2 linked regions of the Saccharomyces cerevisiae S288C genome follow. Each later gene encodes a partner of the first gene's protein in a complex. Each region holds a gene or a part of one and is shown in the gene's direction. Other genes may lie near its edges.

Region 1 (7,697 bases):
TTGCGAATGTGATCTTACTATGATTTGCTGCAAAAGTTTTCGGCCTTTTAGGTGCTGCATATAGCCATAACCTGTGTGATAACGTTTCTCCTCTCTCATCGTTTTTGATTGCCTTTAAAAATAGCAAAATTTTATTAGTGTACTTGGTGCAACTTTTAGAAGTTCTTGGGACGGTGATGACACCACCTTGGTTAGAAAATATGACTATGACGGCCGTGGGATCATTATCAATGATATTACACAGGTAATCCAGGGTGGATTTCTTGGAGTTAAAATTAATAAACTGCCAATCACTTGCGCTTCTACTAAAACTTATATTGGGGGACTTTGGTTTGATAATTGTATGGTCCAGATCAAAGGCATAAACGTTTAGACCATGCTCGTCGTGATCAATGGATTGTGGAAACTTGGGCGTGAACTTAATCAGAAATGGCAGGATTGTTAATTTGTGGGACATGGGCTTTCCTTCGGTTCAGTTTTCTATGTTATCCATCTGATTTTGGGATGATTTTACAGATTAAAATCGATTTAAAGCCATACGCAAAAGAGGGGAAACGAAAGAAACGCACAGAATTCATTCACATAGATGAAGGGAACAGAAAATGAGAATGTTATATGACAGATAAGCAGCATATTCAGGACATATATCCAGATATATATACATATAAGCTATTAACAAGGAGAAGAAACCAAAAAAAAAAAAAAAAGAAAACATCCTCAGATGATATCAGCTTTACCTACAGTTTCGTAATATTTACAGACGTCAGAGCCACTCAATTTCCTCGGAACAAAGATTTTAGACACTATAGAAACCTCATTTTCAAATCTTGTTGCATCAGCAATCGAATGAGGAAAGTTCACAACTACTAGCTTGTCACCGGTCTTGAAGTTCTCTTTGAAATATCTACCCAAAAGCATGACCAACATACCGGTCGGCAAATTGTAAGCGTACGTGTCACACCCGTATTTTTTGTAGTATTCATTTAATAAAGCCTCATATCTATCATCCCTCAAGGTTCTGTAGTAATCGATGACCTTGACTGGATCGACAAACTGCAGCTCATTTATATCATCGCCTTGTGATTTCTGCAGTACCTTTCTAGTTTCTTCAATGCTGGGTGATAAGGAAAACTTTATATCGACCTCACCTTGTGGGAAGATAGCCACACGTCTTTTCAACCCTTTAACCACATTTTCGAATTCTTCTTCTGATAATGTTGTCTTCGGTTTGTTCTTATCTAAAGACTGTACTGTCTTGACAAATATCACTGTACCGATAATAGCAACAAGGAAAATTTTCTTAAATCCTGGAGCATCTATTTTATCTGATTTGTTAGACCTTTTAGTTGAGCTATCAGTTGATGAGTATCGTGCTCTCAAGAGCAATGGTGAAAATAAGGGTAATTGCTTTTGAGGCAACCCACCGCACACCTTGAAACAATGTCGGCAGCTTGCTAGAACGCTTTTTCTCAGTGGTCGCAACATGTAGGTAGTCTATTTATCTGGGCTCGTTATGTATTAATCTTCCTATGGGGATTCATTCATTTTAGCTTTACCGGCAGTCCTTACAAACCGCTTTTTGAAATTAAATCGACAAACTGAGGAAGAAGAACGGAAAAACAGAAGAAAGCCAAAGGCAAAGAAGCGACCACATACACCTTTTTTTCGATCTAAACTAATCGCCCAAAATGTCGTTGGTCAAACTTGCGAATACGTGTGCTCATTTACAGAACTGCTCGAAAGTTAGAGTTGCCTTAACATCGATCCCATATACGAAATTGCAGCTACAGTTTGCGTATAACCTTTACCAACAAGGGTTCTTATCGTCTTTACAGAAGGGATCGACTATGGGACCAGACAAAGATTTTGTTGAAGTAACACCAGACAATATCTCTACTAGAAGGCTTTGGGTTGGATTGAAGTATAGAGATAACAAACCTGTCCTCAGCAGCTGCAAATTAATTTCCAAACCAAATTCAAGAATACACCTGCCAATGGAAGACATGAAGAAACTATGCTCTGGCGTAACTATTAGAAACATCAAACCACTACAACCAGGAGAACTGATTCTAGTTCGAGCTCATAACAACATTATGGACATTAATGAAGCCATATCCAAAAAGTTGGATGGAGAAGTACTATGCAGAGTAAAATGAATAGAACAATCACATATGACCGTATTTATACGTGTAATTAAAAAATATACGGACCATGTAAATAATAATATTATAAAATGCAGACAATGATGATGAGTATAGTACTACAGTAACGTCCTTCATTCATTACCTTTACTAGCAGTGATAAAAAGTTTTGAAAAAAAATGTGCTCCAGGGGAGGTTCGAACTCTCGACCTTCAGATTATGAGACTGACGCTCTTCCTACTGAGCTACTGAAGCTGTCTGTTATGGAGGATTCTAGCATTAAATGCTTTAATACTCAATAAAAGCAACAATGGAGAATAATTTATCAGCAACTAAATTTATAGACGAAGATCCTACGCCAAATCTTAGCTCCTTTATATTTAATATTGAAAAACATATGAATTTTAGGTTGAATCCTCAAAATGGAATTGATATTTCTACATAATAGTACTACGATTATTCTTCACTCTGTTTTATATGTGTCATTATGTTATTACATTATCAATCCTTGCATTTCAGCTTCGTCTAACTTCCATGACAGTTTCTCATACCTTATGTCATCATCTAACACCGTACATGATAACATACTGGTAGTGTAACTACTAGTTGATAGATGATAGTTCATTTTCATTCCAACAATTGTCGTTAGAGATCGCTACATAATCAACCTTTGCACTTCAGCTTCCATTAAATCTGATTAATGCTTCTTAATCTTTAAGCCATCTTCTTGCACCATAAATAGCAATGAAACCATTTAGTCTTCTATTTTCCACTTAAAGAACCAGGTTTTTGCATTTCAGCCATCTTAAATTAGACGACGGTTTAATTTCGGTGTAGTATCATAAAATTTCGGCCATCCTTCGACTCACGTATAATGATGGCCTCAGCGAGAGGATCAGCAACAAGTTACATCCACAATAATACGCGGAGTTATGAGATATTACAGTACCCTCCCCAAAAATATAAGGTTTACCGCAAGATCGTATCAGGAGAATGAACGGGTCTCTTAGTTTTTATCCACTATTCTTTCCACTCACGCCAATATACTAACCAATTGAAATGCTCATAACCAGAATGAACAGGCCGCATGCATTCTTTAGCCAACTTTCGATGAAAATACCCACTATGCAATGGTAAATTTCCGAAACAAAAAATTATACTTCAGTGTTCCCACAAAATAACGATATGTTTCTTTTCATTTTTCAATGAAAGCATGATTTTTTCCCTTCCAATGCCAAAATGCTAGTCCTATAAATGAAAAAAAAAGCTTTCTGCTATAAGAACAGCAAGGGGCATTTCAACTTACACATAATAGAAGGTGAGATAAAGACCATCGTGAATCCTAATAGAAACTGCGGGTTTCTTAGGATCATGGGTCGCGCAAAACCGCCAAGTTTACCATCAAAAAGCTACAAAGTTCAATTTACCCAATAGAATTCTAACGCCAAAGATTTGTAGTGATTCATATGAAATTTTCTTTATGCATCCAGTTATTACTATTGAGTTTCTCTCAAGATACATTCTCCAAAAAAAAAGCCTGTTCTCGCACAAACGACCTTAAGAAAGGTTTAAAACAGCTGTCACATTACATTATAGTAGATAAAAACACGAATGGCATTTTCTTAACTTGCAGGTGTACTCTCTATAGCATGTTTAACATATTTTCACCTCTTTATTGCAAACACTTTGGCGTTTCATATTCTGTCCATGTATATGCACCACAATGATTTTATTTTCTTTTGTATGCATTTTGTGACGATTTGACAACTGATGCATCATTTCGTTCCATCTATTTCGCTGTTCATGGCTTCTGTCTCTTTCTCTGTCTTTTTTAGCCATCTCGCAACTAGCTGGGAATGTTCTTTTTTCAGATCCGAGAGTTTTTGTTGTAAAACATTATTTTCAATGGTTCCACTAATCAATTCGTCATTCAACCTTTCCGTATTCTTATTTTTCAACGCAATAACTTCTTTCAATCTTCGTATTTCTTGCTCCTTACTTTTCAGTTCTTTTTGTAGAATTGCCAGTGTATTCAATAAAGCATCGTCATGGCTGACAATGTTGCCACCAATGGCGCCACTATTATCTTGAAACAACTCATTTAAATGGGCCTCCTTGTCGTTTCGATCTGTTAGTCTACGAATTAACAAATCATCCATGCTATCTGTTTGTGGATTGCTTCTTTCCTCCTTTGCTTTCTTCCTTTCTGTTATAATGAAATTGCCCATGGAATATGCGCCCTTAATACAGATTCGCGCAGGTTAATAACAAAAATCAACGTTAAATAAAGGTCAACTACAAACAGAATAAGTAAAAGCGAGCAAGTGTAGTAGCAATTTAGCACAACATATAAAACGCTATTATAATGGATGTTGTGCAGCAGAAACAGGATAAACAGTTGCAGCATCAAACACAAGAGCAGCAGCAGATACGAGAGGACCAGCAGGAAGTCCCACCCCAACGTCCACGACAACAAAACAGATGGAAACCCTGGTGGAATTCCACTGCCGACGATGAGCCAAACACGGGAAGAATTGCAGAATATCCTAATGGACAAGGAAGGAGTAGTCCGACAACGGATTTTCAAGATAGCGTGAACTCGAATAATGACAATAAAGGGATATGGTCTAAAATCGCTTCTTTTGCAACATCCAGATATAGAAGTGCCCCAATTGTTGTTGATGATAATACCCGCTACTCTCAACTAAACACTGAACAAATCAACTTCTTGGAAAATGAGGCTAAGGATATAATTTCAAAAAAGTCGAAATCATGGTGTTGGTACGAAGCAATTCCACATATATCAAATTCATCAAACATAATTGATTCCATAGATACCCCAGGAATAATCAGTGTCTCTGGTACAGGATCAGCCAAATGCCCATTGCCATTAAACAAATATCCTGGGGAGGGAGGTAACCCTGGGTATAATGTATTTATTAATGATTCTTTAATCCTACCATCAGATAACCCTTTGAATTTTCTGCACGTCCAACCACTAAGAACTAAGGTATTGAATACTATCAAAAATTACTATAACTTCCCTAATGAGCAACATCTCTATTTAAGACAAAAAAAAACCGCATTACTGAAGGATAAGAGAATTATTATAATATCCGTCGTGGGGGATTTACCAGAAAAGTATGAGCAGCGCTCATTAGAATCACAAAGATCGGCTTATTATCTTTCTAGAAAATTGTCACAAAATCTAGCGCAAGAACAACCTCAAAGAGTCTTGACCCTATCGTTCCAGTGCCCACTGCATAATCAAGATTTAATACCTACATATAAAGAATGTGTAGAGTTACTGAACCACTGGGCTCATCTTTTCAAAGAGGTAGATTCAATTTTTTTTGTGGGCGTTTATCACAGCGTTCCCTTAACTTTGCTATTAGCGAAATATATCGTGCAAAATAATGAAGTTCTAGAGTTTGATGAAAACACTACAGTGAGTGTATTGAGTTTCCAGTCATGTTTACAAGGCTATCGATTTTGGGACCACAGCACTGACTTTACTAGCAATAGTTATAATAACTTGGGTTCCAATTCCAGTACTAACGAAAATGATAGTAATGATCATGATTCAAATAATGATTTCACAACGAAGAGCCAACAAATCAAAGAAAAACAGTTATTTCAGGGCATTGACAAAAAGCAACAAGACACATTATCTAAAATCAAAAATTATAGGCGGATAGATTCTAGTGAATCTAAACTAGTTCAGGATGCATTGGATTGGCTCTTGTTCAATTGGGATACGTTTCGACTGACATTTTTTGGTAAGCTTTATGATAATTTTATGACAATTTCAGAAAAACTTGCTATAGATTATAATCACCCTAAAATCTTGAGAAATTTATGGTGCAATGGGAAGTACATGGGCATTGATTTAAAGAATGCTAATAATTTAAACCTTGATACCGATGATGAAGCAACTAGTAACATTAATGACGTCCATGTAAGGACCCCTAATTTTGAATCGAGATTGAAGATTCCCACCAACAGACTTTTCGAAATAACCTTATGGGATATTTTGATGATAACGGAGAATTTAGGATATAAACAATTTATTCCCATAATTAATTTACTAAGTCCTTTTTTTATTTCAAGGTCATTTAATGATTACACATTGCCTCCAAATATTAGGAAACAGTACCAGAACAGCAACAAAATCTGGCTTCAAGAAATGGACAGTAAGTGGAAAATGAATGGTCATCAACTCAATTACGACCAAAGGGAGGGTGAAAGTCTCGGTTCATCATCGGAATCATTATTGCCAGAGAATATTTCTACGGTAAAGGATTTTTTGCAGTTTGTGCAGTATCAAAACGAAAAATCTTCGGATTTCGTAAGGATATATTCAGACATTTATGATGACGATAAAGTCTATAAATGCTTTCTGTACAATACAATATTCACGAAAAACCCATTAAGTCGTAAGCATTTACGTTTAAACATCGACCTCGACACTCCTACAAGCATATTGAATACTGTCAATCAATATGATTTGGTATGGAAAATTCATGATTCCTTCTCCAAATTGATTCAATTGAAAAATTTACCGCAGCGAGAGATACCACATGCGTTGAGGCTCTCCATCTCATTAAACTGCTTCTTGGATAGTACCACGAGTACTTCTGGCCCTGTTTTTCAGAGGGACACCGTGGAAGCTTTGAGAAGATTAACAGAGATTTGGCGAACTTACCAGGATTGGTCTCCACCAACAAGGGGTTTGAAACACCTACGTGATATCCTGAGCGTTTTAGCCATGTATGACAACCCCAAAAACTTGATTAATGATGTTCGACGTACATAGTAGATTCGTATATAGCGGACCGCGTAACATATTATGGTATTTGTATAGTGGGTAACCCGCAGAGTAGGCTGGAAAGTATTCGTGAAGAACATAAAGGAAGCTGGCAGAAGTTCTTTTCATACACCTCTACTTCCAGAAGCCATAATAGCAGCAACGCTGTTTCTGCAATATAACTTGTGGAAGGTCTATAATAGGAAGAACATGTCTTTCACTGAGGATCAAGAAAAAATCGCGCTAGAAATACTGTCAAAAGACAAGCATGAGTTTTACGAAATTTTGAAGGTAGATAGGAAAGCCACAGATAGTGAGATCAAGAAGGCATACAGAAAACTAGCAATCAAATTGCATCCTGATAAAAACTCTCATCCAAAAGCGGGAGAAGCTTTCAAAGTAATTAATAGGGCATTTGAAGTACTAAGCAATGAGGAAAAGCGCAGTATTTATGACAGGATAGGTAGGGATCCTGACGATAGACAAATGCCATCCAGAGGTGCTGCTTCAGGGTTCCGAGGAAGTGCAGGTGGGTCTCCAATGGGTGGCGGATTTGAAGACATGTTTTTCAATTCACGTTTCGGTGGTCAAAGAGCTGGACCACCAGAGGACATATTCGACTTTTTGTTCAACGCAGGCGGCAGCCCATTCGGCGCTTCACCATTTGGGCCTTCTGCTTCCACTTTTTCATTTGGAGGCCCCGGTGGTTTCAGAGTTTATACTAATAATCGTGGTGGCTCACCGTTCAT
Region 2 (5,378 bases), on another chromosome or scaffold:
GTTGTGGAATGGGTTAATGGTGAGAATTGTCATGATCGGTACTTTGACAAGTTTCCAATGGCTAATTTACGATTCGTTCAAGGCTTATGTAGGCTTACCAACCACCGGTTAGCTGATCGATTCAATCGGCAAGGTTTATCGTAAACACTCTGTGCTAGAGGAATATTGTATACACAGGATTTCATAAAGTTAGTAAATGACCGGCATTTATAGTTTGTTCTTCTTTGCATATGTCTTAATAAATATTCGTCCTACAATTTCTTTTCATACTAAGAGTTTTGTTATGATTGCCAAATTTCTCAAGCCAAGAACAGGCCCAGGAAAACTTTGAAAGTGCCATATCAGAAACACATTTATAAGGTAGTTTCGATATACGGCAATACTCGATGCATGCCCAAACTTGCCAGCCGCTCGCGATTGAATCTTCTACAATTTTTAGGTGAACATATTCAGAGGCTGAGGCCTTATTTGATAGTAACATCAAATATCACTCCCACAATTTACAATCACTGTCATTGGTCTCACAGGATCCTTTTCTTTCTAGAACTCCCCTAATATCAACTTTTTACTCTACTGTGGCTCTAACCACGTGTATTTTTCAGGCCCATGACTCACCTTTTCTTTCTTTTTCACTAGCAAACGAAAATTTCATCATCACTTTTTTTTTTTTTCACTTTCCGTACGCAGTCTTCTCCAGAGATTCTTTTAGCTTCGAAGAAATAATGTATAATATCCATATATAAGAATACTGCTGGATAATTATTTTATTTCTATTTTAACAGTGCTCTACTCATTGAAGGATATTTGTGTAGCCAATACTCTCTCCATCGCTTAAGCTCACATAGCTATCGCATTTTATCACAGAAGCTTTCATTTTTTTTAACTTTTACATGCCAATGGATTTCCAACCTACATCAAGTCATTCGAACTGGGTCGTGCAAAAGTTCGGTGGTACATCTGTCGGTAAATTTCCCGTCCAAATAGTGGATGACATTGTGAAGCACTATTCTAAACCTGACGGCCCAAACAATAATGTCGCTGTCGTTTGTTCCGCCCGTTCTTCATACACCAAGGCTGAAGGTACCACTTCTCGTCTTTTGAAATGTTGTGATTTGGCTTCGCAAGAATCTGAATTTCAAGACATTATCGAAGTTATCAGACAAGACCATATCGATAATGCCGACCGCTTCATTCTCAATCCTGCCTTGCAAGCCAAGTTAGTGGATGATACCAATAAAGAACTTGAACTGGTCAAGAAATATTTAAATGCTTCAAAAGTTTTGGGTGAAGTGAGTTCACGTACAGTAGATCTGGTGATGTCATGTGGTGAGAAGTTGAGTTGTTTGTTCATGACTGCTTTATGTAATGACCGTGGCTGTAAGGCCAAATATGTGGATTTGAGCCACATTGTTCCCTCTGATTTCAGTGCCAGCGCTTTGGATAACAGTTTCTACACTTTCCTGGTTCAAGCATTGAAAGAAAAATTGGCCCCCTTTGTAAGTGCTAAAGAGCGTATCGTTCCAGTCTTTACAGGGTTTTTTGGTTTAGTTCCAACTGGTCTTCTGAATGGTGTTGGTCGTGGCTATACCGATTTATGTGCCGCTTTGATAGCAGTTGCTGTAAATGCTGATGAACTACAAGTTTGGAAGGAAGTTGATGGTATATTTACTGCTGATCCTCGTAAGGTTCCTGAAGCACGTTTGCTAGACAGTGTTACTCCAGAAGAAGCTTCTGAATTAACATATTATGGTTCCGAAGTTATACATCCTTTTACGATGGAACAAGTTATTAGGGCTAAGATTCCTATTAGAATCAAGAATGTTCAAAATCCATTAGGTAACGGTACCATTATCTACCCAGATAATGTAGCAAAGAAGGGTGAATCTACTCCACCACATCCTCCTGAGAACTTATCCTCATCTTTCTATGAAAAGAGAAAGAGAGGTGCCACTGCTATCACCACCAAAAATGACATTTTCGTCATCAACATTCATTCCAATAAGAAAACCCTATCCCATGGTTTCCTAGCTCAAATATTTACCATCCTGGATAAGTACAAGTTAGTCGTAGATTTAATATCTACTTCTGAAGTTCATGTTTCGATGGCTTTGCCCATTCCAGATGCAGACTCATTAAAATCTCTGAGACAAGCTGAGGAAAAATTGAGAATTTTAGGTTCTGTTGATATCACAAAGAAGTTGTCTATTGTTTCATTAGTTGGTAAACATATGAAACAATACATCGGCATTGCTGGTACCATGTTTACTACTCTTGCTGAAGAAGGCATCAACATTGAAATGATTTCTCAAGGGGCAAATGAAATAAACATATCCTGCGTTATCAATGAATCTGACTCCATAAAAGCGCTACAATGTATTCATGCCAAGTTACTAAGTGAGCGGACAAATACTTCAAACCAATTTGAACATGCCATTGATGAACGTTTAGAACAATTGAAAAGACTTGGAATTTAAATCCACCTTTCTTCTTCACTTTAATGATAGAATATTAATTTTCCCTTTATATATATATATATATATATATACGCGCACATATATTTACATATATATTAATGTTTTGTAACCTATATTGGGGCGATTATTCCCTAAATGTAATGTCAGGGTTATACTGTATCAATTGCTAAAGTAGATCTCATTCATCGAGAGCATAGGATGAAATAAAAGATACAAGAACGTGGCGGACAAGAAGAAATTTTACGAAATAAGATCGGCTAAAGCTTTCGCTAAATGCTTCTTTGAAGTGAAATTTAACGGCTTGTACTTAACTTCAGGTTTTATAACGTATGCATGAAGTGATTGAATTGCGCAATTAGTGGTCCTGGAAAGCAAATCCCCATCACTGACATCACTAGTGATTTTATTTTTATCAAGCGCAAGATACTCGCATAATTTACCCATCACTTGATCAAACTTCGGGAAGGTAAATCTTCTAGGAACCTTTGTTAACTTTTCAATTTCCACAATTTTAAGGTGTGTCTCCAAATCACGGATGGTTAAAAAGTTGCCTCCAAATACCAAAGAGTCTACTGGTGTATAAACTGCATGAATATATCCAGCTGGAATCATAAACAAATCACCAGCATCTAATTCCATCGCAATACCATCCTCAAGAATATCACCGAGGAAAACACTATTTTGGTCTTCTTTTAAAGACCACTCAATATACTTATCTATGTTTGATTGGGTAGGTGGAAATAATAAAAACTTCTTCTGTCCTGAGATAACGTTATAATAAACAGAGGTACCGGCAAAATCCAAATGAAAATCCGTATAAGCATCCTTTACAGACATCAAAATATATTTGGTCACTTTTGGCTTGGGGTCATTCTCCTCCGCCTTCTCCCCATTGACTTTTTCTAAATGTCCATTGAAACTCCAAATTTTATCAACAAGATCATTCTGCCTAACTGCAGTGGGCCTCTCTAGTTCTAATCCCTCAATATTAGAGACTTCTAATGATATAACATTCCTTATTCGATCCCTCCTGTCTGGTTCAGTATTTGTAAAATATTCATTCCAAGATCCCAAGTTCCAATTTTCATTCATTTGTGATTGAACGTCCATTACATCAACATGATAATCCTCGCCTATCATTTCGGTGATATAATTAACTGTGAGGCATCCATTGTCTGTGCCCACATTCGGTACATATACTCCGCTATTCAGTGGATCGATGATCTTGTACGGCACATCTATATTATCAAACTTTTCAGCAAAGTCAGCGGCGTTTATAATATTTGAGCCATTTTTCCATTTTTCAAAAGATTTCATGAAACTCTCCTTATGAGGGTGATTCATTTTATCCCTTTTCGATTCACCCTCATTCAAAGCGATATAGTCAAGTAATTTCTTCTTTCTGAAATTATACCGCTTATTTATATGACTATCTTCAGGGTTTTCTTTATTCCTTTGCCGCTTTCCTTTTTGTGTGATGAGAGCGTATGCGGTAAGATATTCTCCTTCCTTATGATTAGGACAACGGTAGCTCTTGATTTGCTTCGCAGAATTTGGATAAGACAGAACTTCAGAACTTGTAAGATTTGAATAGTGAATGCGTTTCAAAGGCACGCATTTCACGTGGACCCACTGCGGGCAACTATCACACTTCACCCAAATTAATGCGCCTGGATTATCCTTCAACTGGCAATGCTGGCAAATATTGGGATCTTGCATTGCACCATAGCTTATTAGTATTTTGTTTTATGATCATTACGTCTTCTTACTCATTATAATCACCCACTTCTATTAGATGTTCTATTATGCCTTTAAATTGCATTGTAGGGTAACCTGTTGGGGGAAAAAATATCTAGGATTACTTTACATACTTAAATATGAGTCCATTATTAACAGTGTTACAGTTCTAACCAAAAAGGCAAGGTTCTACACAAAACTTCGGATGTTCAAGATGAATGCCACCACAGGCATAAAAATTCAAAACGGTATGCAACCTATCATCAAGGGAGCAGTAAGCTCCACATTTAAACGTGCTCTATACAATTTCGGTATCAAAGAAAAGAAGAGTGTCAATATTGAAATGGGGAGAACGCAACAAACAAAGAAAATCGATCAGTCTTTGTCCAAAAAACTTCCCAAAGGTACTATCTACGATCCATTTGACTTCTCTATGGGACGAATCCATTTAGATAGAAAATATCAGGCAAACAAGAACTCAAACAGGAACGATATAATGAAGTCCGGTGCAAATCCACTAGAATTTTATGCAAGACCAAGAATACTTTCAAGATATGTGACCTCCACGGGAAGAATCCAACATAGGGATATCACAGGCTTATCGGCAAAGAATCAAAGAAGACTATCGAAAGCCATTAGACGGTGCCAGGCAATAGGATTAATGTGAACTGTACTACACTAATGCTTCTCCACATGAAATAATTAAGAAAATAAGGCATTTCATAGTTCTGTCTGTAAATATACAATATGTAAAAAGAATCGCAATTAGATCTTAAGTTAAACTTATATTCATTCTTATATTTCTTTAATATACCCGTTTTATTCGCTTACTCGAATTTGGATTATGGTAATGATATTCACGCCAGAGGAATAAGCTGAAATTGACGAATAACTTTTCAAATAATTTTATTACTTCTATTATACAACTTTATAAATATCTAAGCTGCCATTTACTTAATAAGACGGGTTAATTGTTTACGCTTCATCTTCCTGACCATCTTCATCACATGATTTGACATCCCACTTCATTTTGACATCCCATCTACTAGATTTAGCGCTCCAGCTGACGTACTTAACAAACTCCAAAACACTTTCATCTCTCAAGACCAAATTGAAAGTATTCCAAGCAGGTGGATCATTAATCAATACTGAATCACCACTGTCATC

What was found. The genes of interacting proteins can lie anywhere in the genome.
Region 2: MRPS8 (region 1) and RSM18 share a complex: the UniProt entries of both Saccharomyces cerevisiae proteins name them as parts of the mitochondrial small ribosomal subunit.

The regions. Positions count from the first base shown.
Region 1 is NC_001145.3:570,560-578,256, forward strand, and holds MRPS8 (mitochondrial 37S ribosomal protein uS8m MRPS8), read left to right. Parts: upstream 1-1,688; coding exon 1,689-2,156; downstream 2,157-7,697. Other genes in the region: TPP1 (polynucleotide 3'-phosphatase), read right to left, coding at 1-457; AIM36 (Aim36p), read right to left, coding at 718-1,485; YMR158C-A (uncharacterized protein), read right to left, coding at 2,635-2,772; ATG16 (Atg16p), read right to left, coding at 3,917-4,369; CVM1 (Cvm1p), read left to right, coding at 4,507-6,957; type I HSP40 co-chaperone HLJ1, read left to right, coding at 7,159-7,697. UniProt on the Saccharomyces cerevisiae protein: Component of the mitochondrial ribosome (mitoribosome), a dedicated translation machinery responsible for the synthesis of mitochondrial genome-encoded proteins, including at least some of the essential transmembrane subunits of the mitochondrial respiratory chain.
Region 2 is NC_001137.3:253,471-258,848, reverse strand, and holds RSM18 (mitochondrial 37S ribosomal protein bS18m RSM18), read left to right. Parts: upstream 1-4,461; coding exon 4,462-4,878; downstream 4,879-5,378. Other genes in the region: PIC2 (Cu/Pi carrier), read left to right, coding at 1-112; HOM3 (aspartate kinase), read left to right, coding at 891-2,474; JHD1 ([Histone H3]-lysine-36 demethylase), read right to left, coding at 2,715-4,193; TPA1 (oxidative DNA demethylase), read right to left, coding at 5,187-5,378. UniProt on the Saccharomyces cerevisiae protein: Component of the mitochondrial ribosome (mitoribosome), a dedicated translation machinery responsible for the synthesis of mitochondrial genome-encoded proteins, including at least some of the essential transmembrane subunits of the mitochondrial respiratory chain.